2 linked regions of the Saccharomyces cerevisiae S288C genome follow. Each later gene encodes a partner of the first gene's protein in a complex. Each region holds a gene or a part of one and is shown on either strand. Other genes may lie near its edges. The genes, in order: TRA1 and SPT20. A codon is read from its position in the direction of its gene.

What was found.
Region 2: the proteins of TRA1 (region 1) and SPT20 are in contact, whole or in part, in a cryo-EM structure (PDB 6T9I), measured with the Saccharomyces cerevisiae proteins. Residues at the interface, in NP_011967.1 of Saccharomyces cerevisiae: Tyr2577, Arg2581, Ile2584, Ser2588, Leu2618, Pro2619, Pro2620, His2621, Leu2622, Val2623, Ser2648, Asp2650, Asn2651, Lys2653, Ile2654, Glu2656, Ala2657, Asp2660, Glu2708, Gln2711, Val2712, Ala2714, Arg2715, Tyr2721, Gln2723, Ser2724, Tyr2726, Glu2730, Asp2731, Trp2733; in NP_014493.1 of Saccharomyces cerevisiae: Asn389 (codon at 3,023), Tyr390 (codon at 3,026), Glu391 (codon at 3,029), Leu393 (codon at 3,035), Met394 (codon at 3,038), Leu395 (codon at 3,041), Ile396 (codon at 3,044), Met397 (codon at 3,047), Asn398 (codon at 3,050), Arg400 (codon at 3,056), Thr403 (codon at 3,065), Ile404 (codon at 3,068), Thr405 (codon at 3,071), Asn406 (codon at 3,074), Thr408 (codon at 3,080), Phe409 (codon at 3,083), Val411 (codon at 3,089), Ser412 (codon at 3,092), Lys415 (codon at 3,101), Gln474 (codon at 3,278), Phe475 (codon at 3,281), Ser476 (codon at 3,284), Arg477 (codon at 3,287), Leu478 (codon at 3,290), Phe480 (codon at 3,296), Ile481 (codon at 3,299), Glu482 (codon at 3,302), Trp484 (codon at 3,308), Arg485 (codon at 3,311).

The regions. Positions count from the first base shown.
Region 1 is NC_001140.6:295,892-313,384, forward strand, and holds the start of TRA1 (histone acetyltransferase TRA1), read left to right. Parts: upstream 1-6,869; coding exon 6,870-17,493. Other genes in the region: hexose transporter HXT5, read right to left, coding at 1-556; PAL2 (Pal2p), read right to left, coding at 1,494-2,469, 2,594-2,718; SFB3 (Sfb3p), read right to left, coding at 3,254-6,043. UniProt on the Saccharomyces cerevisiae protein: Essential scaffold subunit of the transcription coactivator SAGA complex. SAGA acts as a general cofactor required for essentially all RNA polymerase II transcription.
Region 2 is NC_001147.6:45,260-49,432, reverse strand, and holds SPT20 (Spt20p), read left to right. Parts: upstream 1-1,858; coding exon 1,859-3,673; downstream 3,674-4,173. Other genes in the region: DNA replication protein PSF3, read right to left, coding at 1-569; PEX11 (Pex11p), read left to right, coding at 790-1,500; DCP1 (Dcp1p), read right to left, coding at 3,800-4,173. UniProt on the Saccharomyces cerevisiae protein: Component of the transcription coactivator SAGA complex. SAGA acts as a general cofactor required for essentially all RNA polymerase II transcription. At the promoters, SAGA is required for transcription pre-initiation complex (PIC) recruitment.

The sequences.
Region 1 (17,493 bases):
CAATGGAGGCGATTTGGATGATGATCCCAATTGAGTAAATGACGACAACAGTCATCAGACCAATCTTACGTCCATACATATCACCGAGCTTTGACAAAACTATACCTCCGATAGCGCAGCCGATGTTGAAAATAGAAACCATCAAACCGGTTCTGACATCGGAAAGATAGGTAGTCCCGTTTGCACGGGTGCTGCCAAATCGCCTAATGAAGTCTGTTTGCCTGACAAAACCAGATATAGTACCAGTATCCCACCCAAACACGAACCCACCAAAAGCAACCATCAAACAGCAGACGGATACAAATAGTAAATCCGACTTCGATTTCTTCTCTAGTTGTTTGTCAACCTCCTTCTGAAGCTCTTCCAGTTCGTCTTTGGGAGGGCCTTCATGGGAAATGTAACTTGAGACGGGTTTAGCTTGTGCCAAATTATCGTTGTAACCGGCGGTACCAGGAGCAGTCGAGTTTCCTGACTTCTCGTTGTATGAGTTAGAATTTGTGCTCACAGTAGCAGACCCTTCCAAGGGGCCTTGATGAGCGTTTTCAAGTTCCGACATTCTTTCTTTACCTCTAATATATTCTTTTTTCTAGAAAAATAATATTTTTTGCTGGTTTTAACAAAGCTATGAAGTAAAATTGCAAAGTGAAAGCGAATCTTGTTTGCGTATATTATATATAGAAAAATTATTCAATCGACTTTTCTCTTTCTTTTGATAGTTTCTTATTCTTAGAGGGAGAACCGTTCGACTAGCATGAAAAGAAAAGAGAGAGACTCTTTTATACGTGAAATCAAAAAGAAACCAAACTTGAGGTACTCTACTAATGATTCTGGCCCTCCTTTCTTGTTTACTCCGTGCCCCTAAAACTAATTAACCCATGCCCATATATTCATCCACACGACCATTAATATTGAACATAAAGATATCATTTCACCAAGCAGTACTTCACTCAATAACAAGGTGTGAAATCCGGTATATTATTCCATCGCTATGAGTGCGGGATCAGAAAGTGAATTACTTACTGTCCCCTAATGTGCACAGCCACGGGGAATGCGGATCAACTGCAGAGAAAAGGGCGCACAGAGTTAGAATGCATCCCTTAATCCGGGAAGTAACAGTAACACGTCATGCGGATGTTTCTTCGGTGGGTATGGGTCACAATTTCGTCCACCAGTACATCACAGCATGCTCTCATTTCTTTACTTTTTGCTAGCAGATGATTACTTTCATTTCGGGTGGGATGGGCCACCTTTTTAGTTTATCCTCCGGGATGCCTTAAACAAGAAAATGGAACAGTGGGGATAAGACCCATAAAAAATCCGAAGTGATAAGTATTGATTGGTATATTCCCGTATCGGAGACCTTAACATAACATAGTGTAGTGATTTTGCGTATAGAAAAGTAACCAATAAAATAAGGTAAATATTGCTATATGAATGTAATAAATAAAATAATATATGGGCGCAACAAAAAGAACGCAAGAAAGAAGCATTGATCAGTGCTTTTTACTAGTTTTCAAGCTTTTCACCCTCCTTAATAGCTTGTTGCCGGTGTTTTCCTTTTTAACAACATCTTCGTGACCGCTTCCTTGGGTGGCAGTGACCGGAACAGAAGTTCTATTATCGTCTACGTCCTTTTGCTCCAAGTGTCCACTATGTGTTTTCACTAGCTTTAAATTGTTGTTGTTCACTTGTAGATGTCTTCTTGAGGGGAGAGACTTTTTTCTTGCTATGCTGTTTTTCCTACGAGATTCTTGTGCGTGGTTGATAACATCTTGCTCTATGGCAGCGGAAGACGCTGGTGCGCCATCCAGGAACGTCGTTGAGCCTAGACCCATCGTAATGGGCCCATGGACTAGTTCAGTTTTCATTTTGGAATCGAACTGGGTAATATTTTTTGAATTCGGTTTAATCGCATCCAAAGTCGTAGTACTGGAATTGGCCTTATTGAATAAATATGCTCTATCTTGTAGTTGGTTCAGCGTCTCAGAATCGTCGTCTACTGTTTCCCTACCAAACACCTCATCTAAGGTAGACTTCTTACTTGTGCGGCCGCCTACTGTATTATTTGGACCATCTGCTGGGAAGGCCAGTACAGGCGCCACTTTATTATTCTTATTTCTCTGTGGAGTGCATGCATCAAAGGGGCCGTCATGATGGAAAGATCCGCCAAATAATCCTGTAACATCCATCTTGTCAATAGTGTCTACATTTTTAGGGGGCTTAACCTTGGTTCTGCTTTTGCTCTTCTGCTTATCTTTGTCCCTATGTCCGTGTGATGTACGACGATGGTGGTGGTGGTTGTGTTGGTGACTATTTGAACCACTACTGCGTTTCTTTTCTTTTGGGTATGGAGCTTGCTGTTTCGGTGTCCCCGCAGCTTCTTCATATGATGGGAGTCTTTCTTGTCTAGAATTGGAAACGCTACTGTTATGGGCCCTCCTAGTGTCATCTTCATTTAAAAATGGGTTACTGCAATAATTATGGATTATCTCAATCGATTTTGAAAGGAGAAAAAGAGTTAAGTTAGTATTCTGAAGTAGTCATGACTGTTAGTTACACTGTAGTGCAATTTTGGGAGTGGAGCTACACATACTTATAATTCCTGGGCGTTTCATCCCTGCTTGATACTCTGTCCTCTGAAGGAGAAACTCTGAAGGGGTTAATCACTGTATTCACGCCATTTTGAGGACCGCCTATGGTCCTTCCTGTTTGATTCATTTGCGTCTGTTTGATATAGTATTCTTTGGAAAAAACGCTTCTGAAATACAAAATAGTAGTAATTTTGCAAGATTTACCAGAAGACAGTCAAGAAAAAATAAAGATAAAAGAGGAAGCAAAGCTACAGTTTTATCCCTGTAATTATGAGATTCTCTCATCCTATGTAGAATTTCACCCTTTCTCTGCCTGCGTTTCACATACTGCCTTTTTTTTTTTTTTGGCAGTATTCTCAGCATAGTCAGCGTTTCGCTGCCGAGAGCCCTTCTGTGGCTGGAACCCCACCAAAACACGAACCCAAAAATACTTCTCCTGTATTCCCCTTGATCAACGCCTTTCTACATGAGGAGGCGCAGGTGAATGCAGAAAGGCACAATATAGCCAACACGTAAAAATCACAATCATATCAGTCTATTCATTCATTTACGTATTTAATTATTTAGTAATGGATATACGAACCGCATCGGCCACAGCCACAACAATATGTCGTTATTTCCAGTTTTCTGCGTGTAAGCACAGGGTCTCCTTTGAGCGAGGCTCAAAACTGCACAAATTTTTGATGGATATTTTCGTGAGTTGCGGCAGTCGAGACTTTAATGAAATCGTCTTTTTGAAGTTTTTCTTGAATTTTTTTATGCATTATCACCAAGTAATTGTCATATGATTCGATTCTGTTGACGGTCTTGTCCTCGCAAAGCAATTGACTCATCACATTACTGTAATATTGATCAACATTAGGCCTCAACAAGACTAACGGCAATGATGACTTGTTGACTACTTGTTGCCAGTTTTTAATGACGTTTGAAGCCTTTTGATTAATACTAGTGCCCGTCTCAGGCAATGTTCCACTAAATAACGAAATTTGGCTGACGGGCAAGGATTCATCCACTGACAGCAGGTCTTGCAAGAGCATTCTATTGGTGTTCTCATTAAACCATAGATAGATAGTATCACCTTGGAAAATCAAGTAGCAACCGCCGTTAATGAAATTAGAGTGTGAGGCTCTTACAGATAGATTATTAATAGAGCTGGAGTTGATCTGTAATAATTTATCATTAGCATCGTAAAAGGTCAGATCAGTTTCCTCTAATAATACATGGAATGGCACAATTTGTGGATAAAGTTTGTAGCAAAGTTGTGCTGAGTTCAATGAATCGTACTTCAATAAATCATAAATTCGTTCATTACCACGGGTACTTTGAGCGTTTGGCTTCATTAATTCGCTTTTTTCAAATGCTAACATGTAAGCAGGCAATGTCTTTATAGAATCCGGCAGTATCAATTGCGTTGATGAGTTACTGCTAACCAATCCTCTATATTGGGTCAAGATTTCGACCATCTTGTCATCAATTAATCTTCTGATCTTTACAAAGTCACAATCACCGAGCGTCTTTATGACATCTTTGATCATTATTCTCATGACAGGATTTTGATTTATAAACTTGAAAATTTCACGAATGTTATTAGATACCGCACCTGACGTGTTAATAGAACGAACTTTTCTGACACCATCAATATCAGTATATAACAATGCAGTTTGGAAATGAACATCGGTTCCTGTTTTTATTTTACTGTCATATTTTAGTAAGACATCTAAGGTGGTATCTCTAGTCAATACAGGAATAATTGGATCATGATCCGTATTATCAGATGAATCGCAGTAGTACTGTTCCACAGATAGCCCAGTAGAACAGCGAACTTTCAATAAAGCTTGATAACCAACAATATTGGAGACATTTGTAACCATGTCGTTAACCAAAGTGAAGGCATCCGTCTCTTGTTGAAAGTGGGGATAATATTTCAAAATACCGGAAGTCATCTCTACAGGATGGCCCACAGTGGCCATATCAATGAATCCCGCATTGGTCACATATAAATCTAAAGAAATGTAGGATTTCAAAAAATCCGATGCTAATTTCTTATAGAACCCATTGTCGCATTTAACATGAGCAATGTGTGCATTGTCCCTTTTTAGCGATAAATTCCCGTTGCCGATCGTTGGCAAGCTGTTCAAAGAACAAATAATCTTACCACCTTGCCCGCCAGTTACTGTGTCTAACGCTAATTTTGCGGCTTGTAAAGCAGAACCATAACAGACTTGGGGTACGTGACTATACTTGTCGGTGGAGATGTAACCACTAATTTTTATCAATGTGTCATTAATGATTTTCATCGAGTTTCCGGGTTTAACAAATAATCCATTATAAAATGGTAAGAAAACATCGTCCAATTCACTTACAATGTACTCTTGTGCATTATCTAAATCTGGTCTCAAATTAAAGAACCGCAACTTATTATCATAAACGATTATAGCAACCTCACAATTTGGCTGGAAATCTGAAATATACTCAATACATGACCTGACACCTTCCACCATGGCTAAAGAACTTCCGTTCTCATTAGCTAACAATGAAACATCAATCAAAAACACGTAGTGTAGTGGTAAAAGCTCCTTCTCCTGAATAGCATTGTAAATACTTGGCACCAAGAAATCGACTGTTCCGTGCAATAACTCTGATTTTTCGTTCAAATCACTTCGTTGCCCATTGGGACCCATGGGCGCAAAATGCTCACCTGGAACTTGCATCTTAACTCTACAAATATTACAAATAACACTTGAATCATAAGTGAACTGAAATTTAGGATTAGCATACGCACGACAACGTCTACAACGCAAAGGCGTACCATCCATTGGTAATGGAATTGTGGGAACTTCTGCATCATTCGGTGTCAAAGTGGAAAATGGTTGGATGGTTAATCCAAGTGGTAGCTTCGTGGCGGCTCTCAAGTGTTCACTTTCGGGGATGTTGTACATGGATAAACTCATCAAGTGCGGATCACATGAACCTTGGTCAACACAATAAAACTGGGTGGTCGGCAAGGGCGGAACAGAATCTCTACAAGTTTCGAAAGATCGTTGTAAATATTGAGCTTGATCTTCAAATCTTTGAGTTGGAACAATGTGAGATGTAGGTTGAGGCGCTGTCATATCAAGCATAGATTGACCATATGGCGAGGAGGCCTCACTCGCACCGAATCGCTCTTGACTCACCATTACAGGCGTGGACATAACGGAACCCGAACCGTTGTTGAAGCCACCAAATTGCTTAGGGGTAAAGGCTTGAGGTTGTTGAAAACCATCCTGCTGATTCAATTGGGGTGTAGTGTAGGGTGAATTGCCCAAAGTAGGAACAGTGCCCGAGGAAAAGTTATGATATGCTCTGTGAGGTCTTCTACTTTTTTTGGAAGATGCTCCGCCCGTATGCACAGTAGATTCATCAAGAGAGAGCGCTGAAACACTAGCTGCCAAAATATTCTGCTGAGACATGATGGTCCAATATTCTTCTGCAAATGGCCTCCTTAGTAACCCTCAAAATTACTAATTTCTTCAGTTGCAAGCTCCGATTTGGTTGAATCAGACCTAAGTTGTTACAGCGTACGTGTTTTTTTTATTTATTTATTTTCTAACATTTTTCTCTTTGGTTTTTCCAGTTTGATCGTTCCCACGTTGAGACGAAACGAAGGAAAAAAAAGAACATTTTTTTCGCATTGTGCACGGAAGGCTTCACCTTCAATAGGGCAAACAGAAGGACGAGCTGCATCACTTTTAGCCGCCACTAATCAACTCCTTCAGATAGATCGCCAGAACGCAAATAAGTGAAATTTGAAGATCAACTTGAATCAAAAAGCCAAAACTAAGAATTGTACGCTACTCTGCCAGACAATATTTTACGGACACGCGCATTTCAAGACAAAGCCATAATTCATGCCTTTTCAACTAGCATCTGGACGCCGCTGAGATCATAGGAACAAACAAAACGCACGAAAATAGCTAACGCACGTATCGAATACCAAATCAGTCTGCATTTATTGTACCCTCAAATTACAAATTCAACCAACAATTGTTCAAAAGACCACCTTGAATCTTGTGTTTCCTAATTTGGTAAGTGATCACGTGGTCAGACAGTTTTCCAGGTCAAACTGAAAAAAAAGCTCAAGAACCATTTTTCTTTAATAGCCTTTTTTAGTTGTATTCTAATAAACAACACCAACAAAATCGGAGGTATCACACGTAATTACATAAAGAAGATTAAATTCAGAGAAGATCTATCACACGATATCTCCATAGTTACAAAGAATACCGCATTTTGCCGATGTCACTCACTGAGCAGATCGAGCAATTCGCCAGTAGGTTTCGCGATGATGATGCCACTCTACAATCGAGATATTCCACTCTATCGGAATTGTACGACATAATGGAATTACTGAATTCTCCTGAGGATTACCATTTTTTCTTACAAGCTGTGATACCTTTACTTCTAAACCAGCTAAAGGAAGTTCCTATTTCATATGATGCGCATTCACCGGAACAAAAGTTGAGAAACTCTATGCTTGATATTTTCAACAGGTGTCTCATGAACCAAACCTTTCAACCCTACGCAATGGAAGTGCTCGAGTTTTTACTTTCAGTACTACCAAAGGAAAACGAAGAAAATGGGATATTATGTATGAAAGTGCTGACGACACTTTTCAAATCATTCAAATCAATACTACAGGACAAACTCGACTCCTTCATACGAATAATTATTCAGATTTATAAAAATACACCAAACCTTATAAACCAGACGTTTTATGAAGCCGGGAAAGCAGAACAGGGTGATTTGGATTCACCAAAAGAACCACAGGCAGATGAACTTCTCGATGAATTCTCCAAAAATGATGAAGAAAAGGACTTTCCATCGAAACAATCATCCACGGAGCCAAGGTTTGAAAACTCTACCTCATCAAACGGGTTGAGGTCATCTATGTTTTCCTTTAAAATCCTTTCTGAATGCCCTATTACAATGGTCACTTTATATTCGTCTTACAAGCAGTTGACTAGCACCTCGCTTCCGGAATTCACTCCTCTTATTATGAATCTATTGAATATACAAATTAAACAACAACAGGAAGCGAGAGAACAGGCGGAATCACGGGGAGAACATTTCACTTCTATATCGACGGAGATTATCAACAGACCGGCTTACTGTGATTTTATATTAGCCCAGATCAAGGCCACGTCTTTCTTGGCTTACGTATTCATTAGAGGATACGCTCCTGAATTTTTGCAGGATTATGTGAATTTTGTTCCTGATTTAATCATAAGGCTTTTACAAGACTGCCCTTCTGAACTATCATCTGCTAGGAAGGAACTTTTGCATGCCACTAGACACATTCTATCTACAAACTACAAAAAGCTCTTTTTACCCAAATTGGACTATCTGTTTGACGAACGTATACTTATTGGTAACGGTTTTACTATGCATGAAACATTAAGGCCCCTGGCTTATAGTACTGTGGCAGATTTCATTCATAATATAAGATCTGAATTACAACTAAGTGAAATTGAAAAAACAATAAAGATTTACACTGGATATCTATTGGATGAGTCATTAGCCTTAACTGTACAAATCATGAGTGCAAAATTGCTGCTTAATTTAGTTGAAAGAATATTAAAATTGGGAAAGGAGAACCCACAAGAGGCCCCTAGAGCAAAGAAATTGTTAATGATAATCATTGACTCATATATGAATAGATTTAAAACCTTAAACAGACAGTACGATACAATAATGAAGTACTATGGAAGATACGAAACGCATAAGAAGGAGAAAGCAGAAAAGCTCAAAAACTCTATACAGGATAATGACAAAGAGAGTGAGGAATTTATGAGGAAGGTACTGGAACCATCCGATGACGACCATTTGATGCCACAGCCTAAAAAAGAAGATATCAATGATAGTCCCGATGTTGAAATGACAGAATCTGACAAAGTGGTGAAGAATGACGTTGAAATGTTTGACATAAAAAACTACGCACCTATATTATTACTACCCACACCAACAAATGATCCCATCAAGGATGCTTTTTACTTATACAGAACTTTAATGTCTTTCTTAAAAACAATAATTCATGACTTAAAAGTCTTTAACCCACCTCCTAACGAATATACGGTTGCTAATCCTAAATTGTGGGCTTCTGTTTCTAGAGTTTTTTCATATGAGGAAGTCATTGTTTTCAAGGATTTATTTCACGAATGTATTATTGGTTTGAAATTTTTTAAAGATCATAATGAAAAATTATCTCCAGAAACAACAAAAAAACATTTTGATATATCAATGCCCAGCCTACCGGTCTCAGCCACCAAAGATGCTCGTGAGTTAATGGACTATTTGGCATTTATGTTTATGCAGATGGATAATGCCACTTTTAATGAAATAATTGAACAGGAACTGCCATTTGTCTATGAAAGAATGCTGGAGGATTCTGGGCTGCTACATGTCGCGCAATCCTTTTTAACAAGTGAAATAACCTCCCCAAATTTTGCTGGCATCCTTTTAAGATTCTTGAAAGGGAAATTGAAAGATTTAGGAAACGTTGATTTTAACACTTCTAATGTCCTAATACGACTTTTCAAATTGTCCTTTATGTCCGTCAATCTTTTCCCCAATATCAATGAGGTTGTTCTTCTTCCACACTTAAACGATCTAATTCTAAACTCCCTGAAATACTCAACTACAGCAGAAGAGCCTCTAGTATACTTTTATCTTATTAGAACTCTTTTTAGAAGTATAGGTGGGGGCAGATTTGAAAACTTATATAGATCGATTAAGCCCATACTACAGGTGCTATTACAATCTTTAAACCAAATGATACTTACTGCACGATTGCCCCACGAGAGAGAACTTTATGTGGAATTATGCATCACTGTACCAGTTCGGTTAAGTGTGCTTGCTCCTTATTTGCCATTTTTGATGAAACCATTGGTATTTGCATTACAGCAATATCCTGATCTCGTTTCGCAGGGTTTAAGGACCTTAGAATTATGTATTGATAATTTGACCGCCGAGTATTTTGATCCTATAATCGAACCGGTAATCGATGACGTTTCGAAGGCCTTGTTTAACCTTCTGCAACCTCAACCATTTAATCATGCTATCAGCCACAACGTAGTCAGAATACTGGGCAAATTAGGAGGTAGAAATCGTCAATTTTTAAAGCCACCAACGGACCTCACGGAAAAAACGGAACTAGACATTGATGCGATAGCAGATTTCAAAATCAATGGTATGCCGGAAGATGTACCGCTTTCTGTAACGCCAGGAATCCAGTCCGCTTTGAATATATTGCAAAGCTACAAAAGTGATATTCACTACAGGAAGAGTGCTTACAAGTATCTAACCTGTGTACTACTGTTAATGACAAAATCATCAGCAGAGTTTCCTACGAATTACACGGAACTGTTGAAGACAGCAGTGAATTCTATAAAGCTAGAGAGGATTGGAATAGAAAAAAACTTTGATTTGGAACCAACTGTAAATAAGAGAGATTATTCGAACCAAGAAAATTTGTTTTTGAGGTTACTGGAGAGCGTTTTTTACGCAACTTCGATAAAGGAACTAAAAGATGACGCAATGGACCTACTGAATAACCTTTTGGATCATTTCTGCCTATTACAAGTAAACACTACGTTGCTTAATAAGAGAAACTATAATGGGACATTTAACATCGATCTAAAGAACCCAAACTTCATGCTAGATAGCTCATTGATTCTAGATGCTATTCCCTTTGCCCTTTCGTACTACATTCCAGAAGTTCGTGAGGTGGGTGTTTTGGCGTACAAAAGAATATACGAAAAAAGTTGTCTGATATATGGGGAGGAACTAGCTTTAAGTCACTCCTTCATACCGGAATTAGCTAAACAGTTTATCCATTTGTGTTACGACGAAACATATTACAACAAAAGAGGCGGTGTCTTGGGTATAAAAGTTCTCATTGATAATGTTAAGTCGTCCTCAGTTTTCCTAAAAAAGTATCAGTATAACCTAGCCAATGGTCTATTATTTGTGCTGAAGGACACTCAGAGCGAGGCCCCATCTGCTATAACAGATAGCGCTGAGAAATTACTAATAGATCTATTAAGTATTACGTTCGCGGATGTAAAAGAAGAGGATTTGGGTAACAAAGTCTTGGAGAACACACTGACGGACATAGTATGCGAATTAAGTAATGCAAATCCTAAGGTAAGAAATGCCTGCCAGAAGTCCTTACATACAATTTCAAACCTCACTGGAATTCCTATAGTAAAATTGATGGATCATTCCAAACAATTTCTTCTATCACCAATATTTGCAAAACCTTTAAGAGCATTACCTTTCACTATGCAAATCGGTAATGTCGATGCTATCACATTCTGTTTAAGTCTACCAAACACATTTCTAACATTTAATGAAGAACTGTTTAGGTTACTCCAAGAATCTATTGTCTTGGCAGATGCAGAAGATGAATCACTATCCACCAATATCCAAAAGACAACCGAATATAGTACTTCCGAGCAATTAGTACAATTAAGAATAGCGTGCATAAAATTACTTGCGATTGCTCTTAAAAATGAAGAATTTGCCACAGCTCAACAAGGAAACATCAGAATTCGAATTCTAGCTGTTTTTTTCAAAACAATGCTGAAAACTTCACCAGAAATTATTAATACTACATATGAAGCTTTGAAAGGTTCCTTAGCAGAAAACTCTAAATTGCCGAAAGAATTACTTCAGAACGGATTAAAACCTCTTTTAATGAATTTATCTGACCACCAAAAGCTGACGGTCCCTGGTCTGGATGCTTTATCGAAGCTTCTCGAGTTATTGATTGCATACTTTAAAGTAGAAATCGGAAGAAAGTTGTTAGATCACCTCACGGCATGGTGCCGTGTTGAAGTTCTTGACACATTATTTGGCCAAGATTTAGCAGAGCAGATGCCAACTAAAATAATAGTAAGCATTATTAATATATTTCATCTACTGCCACCACAAGCTGATATGTTTTTAAATGATTTGTTGCTCAAAGTTATGCTTCTAGAGAGAAAACTACGTCTTCAACTGGATTCTCCATTTCGTACACCACTAGCGAGGTACCTGAACCGTTTCCATAACCCCGTAACAGAGTACTTCAAGAAAAATATGACGTTAAGGCAATTAGTGCTTTTCATGTGCAATATTGTGCAAAGACCTGAAGCAAAGGAGCTGGCCGAAGATTTTGAGAAAGAACTCGACAACTTCTATGACTTTTACATTTCCAATATACCAAAAAACCAAGTACGTGTTGTTAGTTTTTTTACTAATATGGTTGATCTCTTTAATACAATGGTGATCACGAATGGGGACGAATGGCTAAAGAAAAAAGGCAACATGATTTTGAAATTAAAAGATATGCTGAACTTGACATTAAAAACAATAAAGGAAAACTCGTTTTACATCGACCATCTACAATTAAATCAAAGTATTGCAAAATTCCAAGCTCTTTACCTGCGTTTCACTGAATTATCCGAAAGGGATCAAAATCCTCTGCTCCTAGATTTCATTGATTTTTCTTTTTCAAATGGTATCAAAGCCTCATATTCCCTCAAGAAATTCATCTTCCATAATATAATAGCAAGTTCAAATAAAGAAAAGCAGAATAACTTCATAAATGATGCAACACTTTTCGTTCTATCTGACAAATGTTTGGATGCTAGAATATTTGTACTTAAAAATGTCATAAATTCAACTTTGATTTATGAAGTGGCAACATCTGGATCTTTGAAAAGCTATCTTGTGGAGGATAAAAAACCTAAATGGTTAGAGTTACTCCACAATAAAATTTGGAAGAACTCAAATGCAATTTTAGCATATGACGTTCTAGACCATCATGATTTATTCCGTTTTGAACTCTTACAACTGTCAGCAATTTTCATTAAGGCAGATCCAGAAATTATAGCCGAGATAAAGAAAGATATAATAAAATTCTGCTGGAATTTCATAAAGCTCGAAGATACCCTTATCAAACAATCCGCGTACCTGGTTACATCATATTTCATATCCAAGTTTGATTTCCCTATTAAAGTTGTCACCCAGGTTTTTGTTGCCCTATTACGTTCTTCTCATGTCGAAGCTAGGTACTTAGTTAAGCAATCGCTGGACGTTCTCACCCCTGTTCTCCATGAACGTATGAACGCAGCTGGGACGCCCGATACCTGGATTAACTGGGTTAAAAGGGTAATGGTAGAAAATTCTTCTAGTCAGAACAACATTTTATACCAATTTTTGATAAGCCACCCTGATTTATTTTTCAATTCAAGAGATTTGTTCATATCAAATATTATTCATCATATGAATAAGATAACGTTCATGTCAAATTCAAACTCTGATAGTCATACTTTAGCTATTGATTTGGCGTCATTAATTCTTTATTGGGAGAACAAGACCTTAGAAATTACGAATGTAAATAATACCAAGACCGATTCCGACGGAGATGTTGTAATGTCCGATTCTAAAAGTGATATTAATCCAGTTGAGGCTGACACAACCGCAATAATTGTAGACGCTAATAACAACTCGCCTATATCTTTACATTTACGCGAGGCTTGTACGGCGTTTTTGATAAGATACGTGTGTGCAAGTAATCACCGTGCCATAGAAACAGAACTAGGATTAAGAGCTATCAATATTTTATCAGAATTAATCTCAGATAAGCATTGGACAAACGTCAATGTTAAACTGGTTTACTTCGAGAAGTTTTTGATATTTCAAGATCTCGATTCCGAAAATATTCTTTACTACTGCATGAATGCTTTGGATGTGCTTTATGTATTCTTCAAAAATAAGACAAAAGAATGGATAATGGAAAACTTACCTACCATTCAAAATCTTCTAGAAAAATGTATCAAATCTGATCATCACGATGTACAGGAAGCTCTGCAAAAAGTTTTGCAGGTAATAATGAAGGCAATAAAAGCTCAGGGTGTATCAGTGATAATTGAAGAAGAAAGCCCTGGTAAGACATTTATCCAAATGTTAACCTCCGTGATAACTCAGGATCTTCAGGAAACCTCATCAGTTACAGCTGGTGTAACTCTAGCTTGGGTACTCTTCATGAACTTTCCGGATAACATCGTCCCATTATTAACGCCTTTGATGAAGACGTTCAGTAAGTTATGCAAAGATCACTTAAGCATTTCACAACCGAAGGACGCCATGGCTCTGGAAGAGGCAAGGATTACGACGAAACTTTTAGAGAAAGTTTTATATATATTATCTTTGAAAGTCTCACTCTTGGGTGACTCCCGTCGTCCTTTCCTCTCCACTGTGGCACTTCTGATTGATCACTCCATGGATCAAAATTTTTTGAGGAAAATTGTCAATATGTCCAGAAGCTGGATATTCAATACTGAAATTTTTCCAACTGTTAAAGAAAAAGCGGCTATATTAACGAAGATGCTGGCGTTTGAGATTAGAGGGGAACCTTCATTGTCAAAGCTATTCTACGAAATAGTCTTGAAACTATTTGATCAAGAACATTTTAATAACACAGAAATTACCGTTAGAATGGAACAACCTTTCCTCGTAGGAACGCGTGTTGAAGACATCGGTATAAGGAAAAGATTCATGACAATTTTGGATAATAGTTTGGAAAGAGATATCAAAGAGAGACTATATTATGTTATACGGGACCAAAACTGGGAATTTATTGCTGATTATCCATGGTTAAATCAAGCTTTACAATTACTATATGGTTCTTTTAATAGAGAGAAGGAATTATCTTTAAAGAACATTTATTGTTTGTCTCCACCATCGATTTTACAAGAGTACCTCCCAGAAAATGCTGAAATGGTAACCGAAGTAAACGATCTGGAATTATCAAACTTTGTTAAAGGTCATATAGCTTCCATGCAAGGTTTATGTCGAATAATCTCTTCGGATTTCATCGATTCTTTGATTGAAATATTTTACCAAGATCCAAAAGCAATTCATAGAGCGTGGGTTACGTTATTTCCCCAGGTATACAAAAGTATTCCAAAGAATGAAAAATACGGGTTTGTTCGATCTATCATTACATTGCTTTCTAAACCTTATCATACCAGACAAATTTCCTCTAGGACAAATGTGATTAATATGCTATTGGACTCAATAAGTAAAATTGAATCGTTAGAATTACCCCCTCATTTGGTCAAATACTTGGCGATATCATACAACGCTTGGTATCAATCGATTAACATCTTGGAATCCATTCAAAGCAATACTAGCATCGACAATACAAAAATTATCGAAGCCAACGAAGATGCGCTATTAGAACTATACGTCAATCTACAAGAAGAAGACATGTTTTATGGTCTTTGGAGACGTAGAGCAAAATACACAGAGACTAACATTGGTTTATCATATGAACAAATTGGCCTTTGGGACAAAGCTCAACAACTTTATGAAGTGGCACAGGTCAAAGCTCGTAGTGGTGCCTTGCCCTACTCACAGTCTGAGTATGCACTATGGGAAGATAACTGGATACAGTGTGCTGAAAAATTACAACATTGGGACGTATTAACTGAATTAGCGAAGCATGAAGGGTTCACGGACTTATTATTAGAATGTGGTTGGCGTGTTGCTGATTGGAACAGTGATCGTGATGCACTTGAGCAATCAGTAAAAAGCGTTATGGACGTTCCAACTCCACGAAGGCAAATGTTTAAGACCTTTTTGGCTCTTCAAAATTTCGCAGAAAGCAGAAAAGGAGATCAAGAAGTTAGAAAGCTATGCGATGAAGGAATACAATTAAGTCTAATAAAGTGGGTGTCTCTGCCAATTAGATATACACCAGCTCATAAGTGGCTATTACATGGGTTTCAACAGTACATGGAATTTTTGGAAGCGACACAGATATATGCTAACTTGCATACAACAACAGTACAGAATCTGGATTCTAAAGCCCAAGAGATTAAGCGCATCTTGCAAGCTTGGAGAGACCGTCTACCAAACACATGGGATGATGTCAATATGTGGAATGACCTAGTAACATGGAGACAACATGCATTCCAGGTTATTAACAACGCATATCTCCCATTAATACCGGCACTTCAACAATCAAACAGTAATAGCAATATTAATACTCATGCATATAGGGGATATCATGAAATTGCCTGGGTAATCAACAGGTTTGCACATGTTGCAAGGAAGCACAACATGCCTGACGTGTGTATCAGTCAGCTGGCACGTATTTACACCCTACCGAATATAGAAATTCAGGAGGCTTTCCTAAAGTTAAGGGAGCAAGCTAAATGTCATTACCAAAACATGAACGAATTAACAACGGGTCTGGATGTTATTAGTAATACTAATTTGGTTTACTTTGGTACTGTCCAAAAAGCTGAATTCTTCACATTGAAGGGTATGTTTTTGTCTAAATTACGCGCATATGAAGAGGCAAATCAAGCCTTTGCAACAGCTGTTCAGATAGACTTGAACTTGGCTAAAGCATGGGCCCAATGGGGTTTCTTCAATGACCGTCGTTTGTCAGAAGAGCCAAACAACATTAGTTTTGCTAGTAATGCAATAAGCTGTTATTTACAAGCCGCCGGCCTGTATAAGAACTCGAAGATTAGGGAGTTATTGTGCAGGATTTTATGGCTCATCAGTATAGATGATGCTTCGGGCATGCTCACAAACGCATTTGACTCCTTTAGAGGCGAAATACCCGTTTGGTACTGGATTACTTTCATTCCTCAACTATTAACCTCTCTATCACATAAGGAGGCCAATATGGTTCGTCATATCTTAATCAGAATTGCTAAAAGTTATCCTCAAGCTCTTCACTTCCAATTAAGAACGACAAAGGAAGATTTCGCCGTTATCCAACGACAGACAATGGCTGTTATGGGGGATAAACCAGATACAAACGATCGGAATGGACGGCGCCAGCCTTGGGAATATTTACAAGAGTTAAACAATATTCTAAAGACAGCTTATCCATTGTTGGCCTTATCCTTAGAGTCTCTTGTTGCCCAAATAAACGACCGTTTCAAATCTACTACTGACGAAGATCTTTTCAGGTTGATAAATGTCCTATTGATCGATGGAACGCTGAACTACAATCGCTTACCATTTCCTAGGAAAAATCCAAAACTTCCTGAAAATACAGAAAAAAATTTGGTCAAATTTTCTACAACTTTGTTGGCGCCTTATATAAGACCAAAGTTCAATGCCGACTTTATTGACAATAAACCGGATTACGAAACTTATATCAAGAGATTACGTTACTGGCGAAGGAGGTTGGAAAACAAGCTTGATAGAGCATCAAAAAAAGAAAATCTAGAAGTATTATGTCCACATTTAAGCAACTTCCATCACCAAAAATTCGAGGATATTGAAATTCCTGGCCAGTATCTTTTGAACAAGGATAATAATGTTCACTTTATTAAAATTGCCAGATTTTTACCCACGGTCGATTTTGTTCGCGGAACACATTCTTCATATAGGCGTTTAATGATTCGGGGCCATGATGGCAGTGTACATTCATTTGCTGTTCAATATCCAGCTGTTCGCCATTCAAGAAGAGAAGAAAGGATGTTTCAATTGTACAGATTATTCAACAAGTCATTATCCAAGAATGTGGAAACAAGACGTCGCAGTATACAGTTCAATCTACCAATAGCAATCCCGCTATCTCCACAAGTCCGTATCATGAATGATAGTGTTTCTTTTACTACCCTTCATGAAATTCACAATGAATTTTGCAAGAAAAAAGGATTTGACCCGGATGATATCCAAGATTTTATGGCAGATAAACTAAACGCAGCGCATGATGATGCTCTGCCTGCGCCAGATATGACCATATTGAAAGTTGAAATTTTCAATTCAATTCAAACAATGTTTGTACCATCAAATGTTTTAAAAGACCATTTTACCTCGTTGTTTACTCAATTTGAAGATTTCT
Region 2 (4,173 bases), on another chromosome or scaffold:
CACCTTTTCGTGTCCTTATAAGATTCATGAGACTTTTTATATATCTCCTTCTCCATTTCTTCTAGTTTCAGTAAAAATGTGCTAGTTGCTATATTAGTGTTCGCTGAATTTTTTCCGGTCGAGTCTGCATTGAGATCAATCGATAAACTACTAGCATGATGATTAAGTTCTTGGGCACGTTGCAAAAGTAGCTCACTAACGACATTGGCCAGTTCTTTTTCGCTAAACAACATTATCCATTTTATGGCTAGACTGAAGAAATGCGAATTTATGGAATGCAAGTCCAGAGCCACCGGATCGGTCTTTATAGCGTTCATAACTTTCGTAGAAAACATATCTGGTGGCAGGAGTTCCACAAAAGGTACAGGTTCTTCATCTACCAAGGCTTCGTCACCACCCACAATTGCAAGGATTCTTGCTAACCATAGTGGCAGGCTTAGTTTAGTGTTTTTCGTTATGGGTCGTCCTGGGTTGTTTTCCAAATAACCAAGACCAGGAATATCATATTGAAATTTACAAGGAAACTCTGTCCCATCTGCTAGGACATCATCAATGTCATAGTAACCCATCCTTTCTATGCTTGCCCTTCTATTGTAAAAATATAATACCAAGAACAAAGTTGGCATCAATTCCATTGCGATTTTCACTACGCGTCGGCATTTATCTCGGAGAACCCGAAGCGATGGGTATATCATTTATAGATATAAAAGGGAAGTGACTCCAACAACTGAAAAACCGTTGTCTCCATCTACTACTTCAAAGACTTCATCAAGTAATAGTATAATCAATATGGTCTGTGATACACTGGTATATCATCCCTCCGTGACGAGATTCGTCAAATTTCTAGATGGCTCAGCTGGCAGAGAAAAGGTTCTCAGATTACTGCAGTATTTAGCAAGATTTTTAGCAGTACAGAACTCATCTCTCTTGGCCAGGCAATTACAAGCTCAATTTACCACAGTCAGAAAATTTCTGAGGTTTCTGAAGCCTTTAAACCACTTGCAGGCAGCTGCTAAATTCTACGATAACAAGTTGGCCAGCGACAACGTCGTTAGAGTCTGCAATGTTTTGAAAAACATCTTCTTTGCTGCATATTTGTCGTTAGATCAAGTCAATCTTTTGAGAATTTTGAAAGTGATTCCTGTAACCGTTCTTACCGGTAAGAAAATACCTCGCTGGTCCAATTGGTGTTGGCTGTTCGGCCTCCTAAGTGGTCTGGCTATGGATCTTCGTAAGATCCAAACATCTCATGCCCAGATTGCTGCGTTTGTCAAGGCAAAATCACAAAGCCAAGGCGATGAGCATGAGGATCACAAGAAGGTACTAGGGAAGGCATACCAAGACAGGTACACCGCGTTAAGAAGACTATTCTGGGATGCTGCAGATTCGTTCATCGTCCTCAACAACCTAGGGTACTTGTCTAGCAACGAAGAGTATGTTGCGCTATCCGGTGTTGTCACATCTATCCTTGGTATGCAAGACATGTGGAAAGCTACATAGCTTTCTTTTCATCTTTTTTTTTTATTTGGCTATTCTCCGCTTATGTTTGATTCGACCCTTCTTTATAATTTATTTCTTATGTATATGACCCAATGTTCCATGTCCATACCTGTATAAGATTCTGAGTGACAATAGTTCTTGTTATCCGCACCATTAATAACTAACTAACTATCTTTAAAGTAAAACTGGGATCGCTATAACTGCTTAGTTCTGTTACCCGCTCGTGATACCTGACGACCATTAATCATGAAGAAGTGTTAAGATGATCGACCAGCAGAGATAAAAGAATGAGAAAAGTAGCCTTCAAGAGGATTAGGAAGGAATAGTTACGGTTAATTTGCGCCTATATATTTCAGGGATGAGTGCCAATAGCCCGACAGGAAACGATCCCCATGTATTTGGTATTCCTGTGAACGCAACACCATCCAATATGGGTTCGCCAGGCAGTCCAGTTAATGTACCACCTCCTATGAACCCAGCGGTAGCAAATGTAAATCATCCTGTTATGAGGACAAACAGTAATAGTAATGCCAATGAAGGTACTAGGACTTTAACCAGGGAGCAAATACAGCAATTGCAGCAAAGACAACGATTATTACTACAGCAAAGACTACTCGAACAACAGAGAAAACAGCAAGCACTCCAAAACTATGAGGCTCAGTTTTATCAAATGCTTATGACCTTAAACAAAAGACCTAAAAGACTTTACAATTTTGTGGAAGATGCAGACTCAATTTTGAAAAAATATGAGCAATATTTACACAGTTTTGAATTTCATATTTATGAGAATAATTATAAGATTTGCGCTCCTGCAAATAGCAGGTTACAACAGCAGCAAAAGCAACCCGAGCTGACTAGTGACGGTTTAATATTAACCAAAAATAACGAAACTTTGAAAGAATTTTTAGAGTACGTCGCAAGAGGAAGGATTCCTGATGCTATTATGGAAGTCTTAAGGGACTGTAATATCCAATTTTACGAAGGAAATCTTATTTTACAGGTTTATGACCATACTAATACAGTTGATGTCACCCCCAAAGAGAACAAGCCTAATTTGAACAGCTCTTCTTCCCCTTCAAATAATAATAGCACACAGGACAATTCCAAGATTCAACAACCATCCGAACCTAATAGTGGTGTGGCAAATACAGGCGCAAACACAGCAAATAAGAAGGCATCCTTCAAACGACCTAGAGTATATCGAACATTGTTGAAGCCTAATGATTTGACGACGTATTATGACATGATGTCTTATGCAGATAATGCCAGGTTTTCTGATAGCATTTATCAACAGTTTGAATCTGAAATTTTAACACTTACCAAGAGGAACTTGTCACTAAGTGTGCCATTAAATCCATATGAGCACCGAGACATGTTGGAGGAAACAGCTTTTTCAGAACCTCATTGGGATAGTGAAAAAAAATCCTTCATTCACGAACATCGTGCTGAGTCTACGAGAGAAGGCACGAAGGGCGTTGTAGGGCATATCGAAGAACGCGATGAATTTCCGCAACATAGTTCAAATTATGAACAGTTGATGTTGATCATGAATGAACGCACAACAACGATAACCAACTCCACGTTTGCTGTTTCGTTAACCAAGAATGCGATGGAGATTGCTAGCTCCAGTTCCAACGGGGTACGTGGAGCTTCGTCCTCAACTTCGAATTCCGCATCAAATACAAGGAATAACAGTTTGGCTAATGGCAATCAAGTAGCTTTGGCAGCGGCAGCGGCTGCGGCTGCAGTGGGATCTACCATGGGTAACGATAATAATCAATTTAGCAGGCTGAAATTTATTGAACAATGGAGAATAAATAAAGAAAAAAGAAAACAGCAGGCTTTAAGTGCAAACATCAATCCAACCCCCTTCAACGCTAGAATATCGATGACAGCACCATTGACTCCACAGCAACAGCTACTTCAAAGACAACAGCAGGCCTTGGAGCAACAACAGAATGGTGGAGCCATGAAAAACGCAAATAAACGGAGTGGTAACAATGCCACCAGTAACAATAATAATAATAATAATAATTTAGATAAACCAAAGGTTAAGCGACCTAGAAAAAATGCAAAAAAAAGCGAGAGCGGTACACCAGCTCCTAAAAAGAAAAGAATGACTAAGAAGAAACAGAGCGCAAGTAGCACGCCCTCTTCTACTACAATGTCATAATCTACTTAAATAGAGTTATCATTCCTTATATATATATATATATATATATATATATATATATATATATTGTATTAAAGTACATCATTATTTAAAAAAAATTCTCACTTGGGCATCTCACCTCTGTGCTCAAGCAAAAGAATCTTTTGGCTCATTTTCCAGAAGATATTTTATTAGTTCGTAGATATTTTGTCTATCACTAACTGTATGAATCCATATACCATAGACCTCATGCTTCAAGTTCTTAATAATGACCAATTCATCTTTCACCTCTACCCCCATGCACTCTAGTGGGTTAAGTGTATCCTCTTCTGCATTAAATACTTTTCTTTTATTTACGACACTATTGGGAACAATGCCCATAGAAAAATTGTCAGGATTAATTCGGTTTAATATGATCAATCCATAATTGTATATGTCCTTTCCACTTAAAGTTTTGCCGCAATTATATGTTAGCGAATCATTACTTTTATAAGAGTTCCCATTTCCACTGCTATTCCTGT